Drosophila melanogaster: one gene and its partner. The protein of the gene in region 1 purifies or fractionates together with the protein of each later gene. This does not show direct contact. Each region holds a gene or a part of one and is shown on either strand. Other genes may lie near its edges.

Region 1 (2,940 bases):
AAGTTAATAATTCATTTACAATAAACTTCCATTTTTTCATGGTATGCATATCCCAAAGCACAAACATTTTATAAATTGATCGGAATTTAAAATAACCCATAGCATAATTTGTTTATGTAAAACGGTAAAAAAAAAATAACCAAAAAGTCAAAAACAATTTATGACCTCCCTTCCTTGACTCTGCGGCTTAAATTGATTTATTCGTATCGAAGGGATGGGATTTTTTAGCGCCCCTCGCATTTCGGTCATTTGTTTTATGCGCTTAGCAGTTTGCCAATTAAAAATCGCATTTGTTTCGGATTTACGACGATGCTATAGTATTGTATGTATTGTATTTTTGTTATTGTTGCTGGTTGCGAATTGTCAACACAATGTTACAAAATGCGAATTGCCAAATGCAATTTATGCACAAACAAAGGACCAACTGCCAGCGAAACACAATTAAAATTTGAATAAGTTTATTGCCGCTGCCATTATGCGGCTCATTAGCGGGAAATGTATGGCCCTGTCGATTAGATAAACAAAAGCGAGAGGAATTACTTTAATTAACTAATTTGCCAATGCAGCAAATCCGAATGGACACACACGCATCGCGGCGTTACGTAATATTGCAATCGAACAAATAAAACTGATTCGAACGTATCGTATCGAATTAATCCAATGTGATTCATCAGCTGCATAGTGAGCAATATTTTCCACTGGTCTATGAACATCCGCCAGGTGAATGGGCTGAGGTGATGCGTGGGGGGGTGGGGGTTGCAGCATATAGATTTCGTTCTTTTTTCGAATCGGGCCTAACCTTAACCACCGTCAGCGGATAATCGTAGTCCGCCCCGCCCACCAGGCGAAAGCCCCAGGGCACATTATCAAATCGGCACATCTTAATGTCGAGCACCATGTTTCCTTGATTTATTCCGACTTTTTTTGTTCGTTTCGATTTTTCCGTTTTCTATCGCGAATTTTCTTCCACTTTTTTTTTTGCTTTTTTTCTAGCTTTTCCGGCACTTTGCGGTCGGTGGGAAGAAGCGAGTGTTTCGAGTGCAGCGCTGGCAACCAACTGTTGGCATCGCCGTGCGTGCAACTCGACAATCGAGTGGCCATGGCGATGGCGATGATGGTGATCGAAGCGATTTCGCACACTGCCGCCGGAGGAGCTTCATCGAAGCATACTTTCCTCCTGGCCACGACATGCTAATGAGGCTGCCACACTGTCAGCCATCGGCCCACATACCCCTTATCCCCATGCCCCACAGATATCTGGTCGTAATCGTAATCGCAATCGACAGCAGTCAGAGCCTCTTAGCGGCAATGTAACAGGTTGGGCGAACGGGTTATGCTTTGAAGTGGGCGGATTTTTTGGCGGTGATTACACTGAAAACTATGCTCGATAAAGCTGTGTGCATCAATTCACACTTTAGAGCAAGTCCCATAAGGCTAACTCTTCTGAATATCTTAAAAATGTCTTACAAATACATTCCAAACTATTGGTATAGATAGATATAGGTAATGATACAACTGATATTTGCTAAGAAATACAATACAATACCCCAACTACCAAAACAACAGTGCATCGCTTTTCCATCCAAATTGGGGAGTAGAGCTAGAAATAGAGTTTGCATTTTTAGGGGAAAAACGGTACCTGAAACATGGGTGATCAAAGGATTTGCAGTTTGTACGCCCGTGGGGCTTGCTATGCCACTGCAATGCTAGACTGCAGAAGAGGCCATTGAACTGCATTAGCTAGCGCTTCCGATTTAGTGGTATAAATACCAGTTGCAGCCCAGAGCATTCACTGCATATCCAAGATGTTTAGCCAGCACAACGGTGCAGCAGTACATGGCCTTCGGCTCCAGTCGCTGCTCATCGCAGCCATGCTCACCGCTGCAATGGCAATGGTCACGCCGACTGGCAGTGGTCACCAGTTGCTGCCCCCCGGAAACCACAAACTCTGCGGCCCCGCACTGTCCGATGCCATGGATGTGGTGTGTCCCCATGGCTTTAATACGCTGCCAAGGAAACGTGAAAGCTTGCTGGGCAACAGCGACGACGACGAGGACACGGAGCAGGAGGTGCAGGATGATAGCAGCATGTGGCAGACACTGGACGGGGCAGGATACTCTTTTAGTCCACTGCTAACCAATCTGTACGGATCCGAGGTCCTGATCAAGATGCGTCGCCACAGGAGACACCTGACCGGTGGCGTCTACGACGAGTGCTGCGTCAAGACCTGCAGCTACTTGGAGTTAGCCATCTACTGTCTACCGAAATAGGACACTTGGCCAACACACACACATTCATTACCCAGCATGCATACACATACATACATACATACGAACACTTGAACATGGCATTCCCACATACATACTATATGTACACCCGTTCTCCTAACAGCATTCGTAATCCAATTCGTAATCACTTATTTATGCAGCACCAACTTTGACTAATGAATAAAAGTAGACAGTGCAAAAAGAAGAATTTGTGTGAGCGGCAAAGACAAGACAGTCAAAGGAAAAGTACCAAGGAGGCGTAATTCGTTGCCAGGATGCTGCTGGCTCCAATCAGCTGGCTCGGGTTCTTGTTGGCCTACTCCGGCCTGCCGGGCGCCCAGGCGCGGATTGGTAAGTATAGGGTAGAAATGGTAGAGGCAAACGGGCTGTAAAGGCGAGGTAACTTTAAGACCAAGGACTTATTTGGTATTCATAAATGCAGGGCTTAGTACGGCCTGGCTGTTTATACATAAATTGTTTAATTGGCTGACAGCAAAACGCCCACAAAGCCCTTCTTCTCCCAAACACAGCCACCCAAAAACCACCCACAATTTTCCAATAGCCATTTGCATAAGTCAGCTTTGACATTGAATGAGTTTAGCCAGGCGTTAGAGAGAAGAGCCAACTCCGGAATGCACTCATCGCATCCTAACACAATTTGACAACCTGACTT
Region 2 (6,914 bases), on another chromosome or scaffold:
ACGGACGGACGGGCGGACCAACGGGCGGACGGAGGAACTGCTAAACTGACGCACTGACATCGACGAACCGCACCCAAAGTGCTTGGCCCGGCAAGTGCATAGATAACAAACGAGTGCAAGGATAACGAGGCTACACGGCAAGGACTACGTTTGCAACCACAGCTACAGCTGCTACTACAACTGCGTCTATGGCAACGGAAATAACGCGAAAAATGGTGCAACAGCAAAGGGCGAAGAGGAGGGGACAGTGAAATATTGAAATACAATTGGTTTAGGATAAGATCACACACAGCCCCATATCTCTTCCTTCCTCCACTTAAAGACGGCGCCAAAGGATGTGGCATAAGTGGTTTCCAGCTGCCCAGCATTTTGCTTTAAGTCCAGCCAGTTGATTTAAATGGCTACATCAAAAATTGAAAAAGAGATTAGTTACACTCAGTAGGTTGAATAAGGTTTGCCAGCGGGTATTAGCTCACTAAAAAGAAACTCTAGCTTAGACTAACAAATATGATAAACTTGAGTATTTTTAAAGGGAATTTTATTGTAGACAATGAAATGTTATACCTTTTATTGATTGGCTTTCAATTGCAGTATATTATATATGACCTAAATTTGTGCTAGTGAGTTTCTTGCAGTGAAGCTTCCAAAGTACGCGAAGGGATAGTCGCCAAGTTACCCCCTTTGGAGTACTTCACTCGCGACCTCTAAGGTAGTTAAATTGCGCGTCAGTGTCAGCGGCAGAATTGAAATCCTTTTCCTCTGCAGGCACTCTGAGCGTCCTTAGCTTCCCGCATCCCGCTCACCCCTCGCCGCTCATACTTAGTCCTGCGTCAATCACGAACCGCTTTTCCCCATTGAGTGGGACACGTTTTCATGGAACTTTTCCAGCTGCGCCGAAAACTTGGCCACAAACAAGGCGACACATGACACGTACTCGACTTGACTCCACTCCACACCGAAAGCAAAAGCATCGTCTCGACCTAGTCCCTTTCCGCCCAGTTTTCGATGGTGGGGATTAGTTCTAGTTTTTGTCAGTGTTTTAAAGTTTAAAGCTCTTTTGCGGCATATTTGCATATTAAGTGGCATGCGTTGGAAGTTCCAGGCAGCCTGCTGTTGTTAGTTTCGCCTAGGCTTATGCCATGGCCAATCTCGAGAGAAAGGTAACCGCTTTCCGGGCCAAGTTGAGGATCTCAGGAATCACTGCTGTCAGTGAGGGTTTTTCCCTTTGAACGGTTTCTGGCTCTGGCACACATTGCAAGGACGTGCGGCTAAGTCTGATAAGCTGATAAGTCAAATTAGCACTGATGAAAACATTTGCTCGCTTGTCGAGGATTTGTTTGGCATTTACACATTTACAATACATTTGGAGGAACTACAGTCACTTGACTTACAATACTTAGTTGGGCCCATATGACACGGCTTACACATTACATTACATTTTAACAATTGATTCAAGTAAAAAGCATTAAAGCTGTTCAGTCTAATTATAATCAAAGTTAAAAACCGAAAAATATTAAAAAAAAAAATTAATTCCAAATAGTAAAACTACGACATATATAGTCTGGAAAAATAAGAGGTCCAGCGGTCCTTCTATGTCAAGTTTTTTAGAACAATAAATACAGATATAGTAAATGTTAAACACGTTGATTTAGGTTGATATTGCATCAAGTTTTCAACATGCCTATCGTCATATGGGTCTAGCATTTATCACTTGTCAGCGGATACAGAAAGTCTGCGATCGAGGATTCTCTGCTAAACACCCTTGATGAATCGCTCCAGTTGGATGCTTGCAGTCTTGATTACAGCTTCCGCCGGAGTTGAGCATCCGTTGACCACGCCCTCGACGCAAGCCCGTATGGTGATCCGGTAATGGGTTTCCGGCTCCAACTGGGAGAGGCAGTAAAAGTGCTGGGTGCCCGGAAGTTCGTAGCCACTCAAGGGCTCCTCAGCCACGCATTTTTCCTCCACTTGCTGGACCACGGATGCGTGGGAGTTTTGGCACTTGGGCAAGGCATGTCGGATGGTATACTTGTGCTGGTCCAAGTCCTGAAGATCCCGCTGCTTCTTCTCGCTATTCAGGCGATAATTCTCATAGTTAATTGCGGCCAATCTCTCCTTAGCCAATGTTGCATTTGTAGGAGCAGGAGTGGTTGTGGGCGGTCTGGTGGGCTCTTCATCCTTCTTTATGGACAACAGGTGCTCATAGTTAATCACTTTTTCGAACTCCTTTCTGCGATAGTCGTGATTGCGCCTATAGATGGTATAATATTGTATATTATTTCAATTGAAACTTCAAAGAAAACCATATTTTCTTGTCTTACGAAACATAAATGAGATTGGGCAACGCATCCTCGTAGGTGATTTGCTCTTTGTTGTAGTAATCCTCGTCATCTGGCTGAGGACCTGAATAGTAGGGCAGTACACCAGCGCACTCACAATCGATGTCTTTAGCATTTTCCAACTCAACATTCACATAATTTTTGTCCTTTGCTTCCTTGGTAGCATTGTACTTTTCGGCGGTCACAAAATAATTTTTAATGACTCCATTTGGACGCCTCGGTGGCCACCAGTGAAGAAGCTGGAAATGAACAAGTTTTTAAGCTGAGAGATATATTTTGAAAAGTACTTACAATCTGGGAACTGATTTCCGAACTGCCATATATTCGGAGCACAGGACTTGGCCTATCCGGTAGCGTCTGGAAGTAGCCGATTTTTGAGTAGGCATCTATCTGAATATGATATTCGGTTCTGGTGAGGGTCTTCACGAAATACGCATACTGTGTGTAGGGCTTCAGACCGCTTATCACATGACGTCGACTCTGGTTGGGCACAACGTCCATCAGCCAGCTGGAAAATTATAAACAGAATCACTGTAGGTAAACTTGGTGAGGGCGAGGAGTCCACACCCACTTGTCATGACCGCAACCATGCCGACCATCGTACATAGTCACGTTTTGCACCGGGGCTTCCTTGTAGTGATACGAATATCCTATTAGCGTTTCCATACCCTCCCAGTCCATGTAGTCCAGGATGATGCGTACCGCAGTGGAATTTAGGTCCTCCACTTTGGGATTGAGGGAGCGCACCGCGTCGCCACAAATCACGCGTTCGCCGTTCGAATTGGGGGATACATCTGCCACGGATATATTCTCTCCGCTTTTCAGGGAGCCCTGTAGCTGATGGATTTTCTCGTAGCACAGGCGGGGATTCAGGTGAAAGAATAGTGTACCGCGCTGAATGATCACCAGGTGATTGGGTGGCCAAATGTGCTCCAAATGGTAGTTATTCACTACATACAGGGCGTATCTGAAAATGAGATAAATAATATTATTAGAATTTCAATACAATCCTTGCCTCTCAAACTAACTTGTTTTCCACCAGCTTATCCCCTCTTATGGCATCCAAATTCTGAAGAAATGTGAGCGACATCAGCTGTGCAGAGTGTATGACCTTCAGATACCCAGTGATCTCTTTAACACTGGCCAACGCATTTTCCAAGGCATCTACAATTTTTTCTGGAAAATGTATTATGTAAGTAAATTATACAGATATCATATATGATATGAAACACACCTTTAATATTGGTGAGTTCGATGGTAAGTGAACCATTGATCGTCACACAGTCTTGTAAAACTTCCAGGTCGGCAGCACTCTTCACGTGAAAATCGCCGTTGCACTCCACCTGGCAGTGGATGATGCCCTTGGCGACCAAAATCTCTTTCTGGTTTCCCGGACACTTTTTCACACACTGATAGCCGCGTATCAGGGGAATCCTTCCCAATTCCCGGCACTCCCTGTGACCGATGCACCTCCTCTTGTTTAATTCATAGCTGGCGACACACTGATTGACACATCCCATTCTTCCCTGGTAGTTTGCACAAAGGGAGCAGTTTTGGGAATAGCAACCAGTTACACAGTTGTGATCACAACATTTGCCCGCACTATCACATCCGTTTAGGCCACATGCAATGGGGCAGTCCTTAAGTCTGGGCGGTTGGGGGCGAAGTTGTGTCGTATTCACGTTCCAGCAGCGCTCCGAGGAGTTCCGGATGAACTCGAAGTCCGCTGACAGGCTACCACACAAAGGGCACTGACTTTGCGGTCTGTTGTGCTATGGTTAATAAAAAAGTTATTTATCCAATATTTGCTTAATATCAAGGAACATATGCCCAAGTATATCTTCACTCACTTTAAGGGAAAAGTGCTGCCGAGTGGCATTGCCCATTAGATATATCCAATCGACGGTTTCCACGAAGCACAGCAAGGGATTCGATTCGACGCGAATGAATCCGCTCTGGATGCGCAATAACTCCACCAGGCCGAGCTCCCTGAGATTGCGATTCTCGTAGACCACCAGGGAGTACTGATCAAAGAGGAGCTCCTGCCCACGAATGATACGCAGCCGTGGGAATATCGACTGCAGGCTGATCAGACCCGTGCAGCGATACACCATTAGGTAGTCACTGATCTCGGTCACATTGCTGGCCAGCGAATCCAGGCTGTAGTTGCCGGATACATCCGTCAGATCCACATAGGCCAGTCGAACGTGACCCACCACATGAGTACAGTTCTGCAGTTTCCGCAGGTCCGCAATCTTATTTATCTCCAACGATCCGCAGGCGGTTTGATCATCGGAACTGGCCAAAACCGGCGATGAGGCGCCCAAAAACAGCAGTATCAACGGAACTGCGATCGAGATGGGGATCGGAAGGGGGTTGGGAACGGGGTGCAGATGCCCCATGCTGCCACCTGACACTTCCAATTGAGAGCACTTGACCCGGGCGTTAAGGGGGCTTCCAATGGATCAATTAGCGCGCCCGCTTGAATGTCAATGTCGTTTTTCTCGCACGATCGATCGGTTGAACTATATATTTTTTTAAATATTTTTTCCGCTTTTGAAGAGAGCTGCGTTCGCGGCAACGATTCGATTTGGACTGATGGCATTCGATTCGAACAGCGTTCTGTGCTTTCGATCTCTTTAATTAGCCTCTTCTTTCGGCATTCACTTTGTTTTGTTTTGTTTGGTTTTGTTTCACACTGTTATTTCTTTTTTATGCGCTCGTCTTCGTTCTCTAAACCCTTCGGCTACACCAGCGGAAAATCGTGTAGTGTTCATAAAACTATTCAAATTTGTCGACATTTATAAGAACCTAAAAATGTATGCAAAGCGAACATATTTAGTAACCTTTTTCTTAAGCAAAATATCTTTTAAGCAGATTTCCAAAATTATTACAATAATAAAATATTTAGCATATTGTTTGATAGAGCCAATTCTAATATAAATATCTAAATATCTTCAAAAACCAGAACTATTTTTTCGACTCGGTGTATAAAAACTGCTCAAGAATGAAAATCAAAGGTGGTGGCTGTTGTGAGAGAAGAAGACTGATGATTCGATGGGGAGCAGTCTGGTAATATTTACGTTAATGAAAGTAAACATTTCGTAAAACAATATCGTAAAATAATATACTTGCCGGTCTTGCTATTTGTTTGTTTCTAGTTTTCTCAATCAAATTTAAACCCCCTAATGCCCTTTTGCAGTCAATTAAAAAAGTGATATACGAAACTTAAAATTAAGATTAAGAGTACCATGATAATTCGTATGATCTTTTACGGTTTTTGATAGATCGATTTGTGGAGCTACAAATGAAATTCAAAAACTGGAAACCCTTTTTGAAATTCTTGGCACGCCACTGTTTCATTTTGTTGGGGAGCGATTATTTTACGCATCTGTTACCTTTCACGTTTTTCTCATTGTCGTTTCCTTGTTGCCGTCAGCCGAAAAACACTTGTTACTTCTGCAACCGCCACAGCCCCTTGCCACGCCCCCACTCCCCATGTGACCTTGCAACCATTTGCAAACCGGTTGGATCCTCTTCCCCCTTCCTCCTTAGCTACCTTCCCCTTAGCCACCTACCGGCGTTCTTTACCTTTTTCCCCAGAGTGCATGTCTTTGCCTTTTGTTTTTGCATTTGCGCAGAAATTAAATTGCACCGGCGAACAATTCAATTAGAGTGAATGCAAAAAAACAGTGAAAATAAGAGCGAAAATGGTGGGAGGGGGTGAACCAAAGCTCCAATCCAATTGGTAGAGTAGTGAGCATTGAACAACGCGCAATTGGCAGTTCATTAAGGTGCAAGTAACGCTCAATGGAATCGGAAAAAGAATTTTCTAAATTTAGTCAGATGCCAATTGAATACGCAGCTTGAATGATTGTTCAATAACAAAAAAATAGATAATATATTTATGTGTTAAATACAATAGCAATAGAAATCTATAAATAATTTGCGCAAAATTGTGCCCCGTTGTTTTAGATATTTTAATGGGCAAACCACATAAAAACGCACGAAATAATTTCAAATTTTCACTTTGTTATTATAGGGTATATCTTTAGTGTAGTACTTTGAATATATCATTACATATGTAACAGCGGATAAAATCTGCCTAATTCACCCCAGGATAATTATTTAGTTATTATATCTATTCCAAAAATTATTTTAAACATAATAATTTATGTTACCGTCGCGATAATCCATTCAAAATTAGTTAATAATTGATAAAACCATCATCAATGGTCAATATAGGCAGTAATTTATTATTATTATTTATCATAAAACGTTATTTTTAGCTTTAAATATGCTTAAAGCCAACTTCTATTTCTAAAAACAAAACTGCCATAAACTGTATCTTTTTTTAACGAGTGCAAAATGCACAAATTCACGCAAAATCACCAGCTGCACCCACATAAAAAATCGCAGTAAACGTGTGAAAAAACCACACAGGCATAACTATCAATGATTTTTTCGTTAGCTGATGTGCTCTTTTTCTCCGTTTTCCCGCCACCCGCCTGTGAATCAATTTTCGCAGTAATTTGCAGAGCCTGCGCTGATGTGAAACGCGCGGAATTTAATGCA

Evidence for each region. Proteins that work in one complex are often made in the same cells at the same time.
Region 2: the proteins of Ilp1 (region 1) and Sdr purify together in Drosophila melanogaster (affinity purification with western blotting, with the first as the bait; one study listed by BioGRID). This does not show direct contact.

What each region holds. Positions count from the first base shown.
Region 1 is NT_037436.4:9,796,629-9,799,568, forward strand, and holds Ilp1 (Insulin-like peptide 1), read left to right. Parts: upstream 1-1,791; 5' UTR 1,792-1,805; coding exon 1,806-2,270; 3' UTR 2,271-2,422; downstream 2,423-2,940. Other genes in the region: Zasp67 (Z band alternatively spliced PDZ-motif protein 67), read right to left, coding at 800-898; CG32052 (uncharacterized protein), read left to right, coding at 2,543-2,618. UniProt on the Drosophila melanogaster protein: Possible ligand of InR/insulin-like receptor.
Region 2 is NT_033777.3:14,916,705-14,923,618, reverse strand, and holds Sdr (secreted decoy of InR), read right to left. Parts: upstream 4,992-6,914; 5' UTR 4,742-4,991; coding exon 4,190-4,741; intron 4,112-4,189; coding exon 3,574-4,111; intron 3,516-3,573; coding exon 3,368-3,515; intron 3,307-3,367; coding exon 2,911-3,306; intron 2,848-2,910; coding exon 2,631-2,847; intron 2,579-2,630; coding exon 2,322-2,578; intron 2,252-2,321; coding exon 1,753-2,251; 3' UTR 536-1,752; downstream 1-535.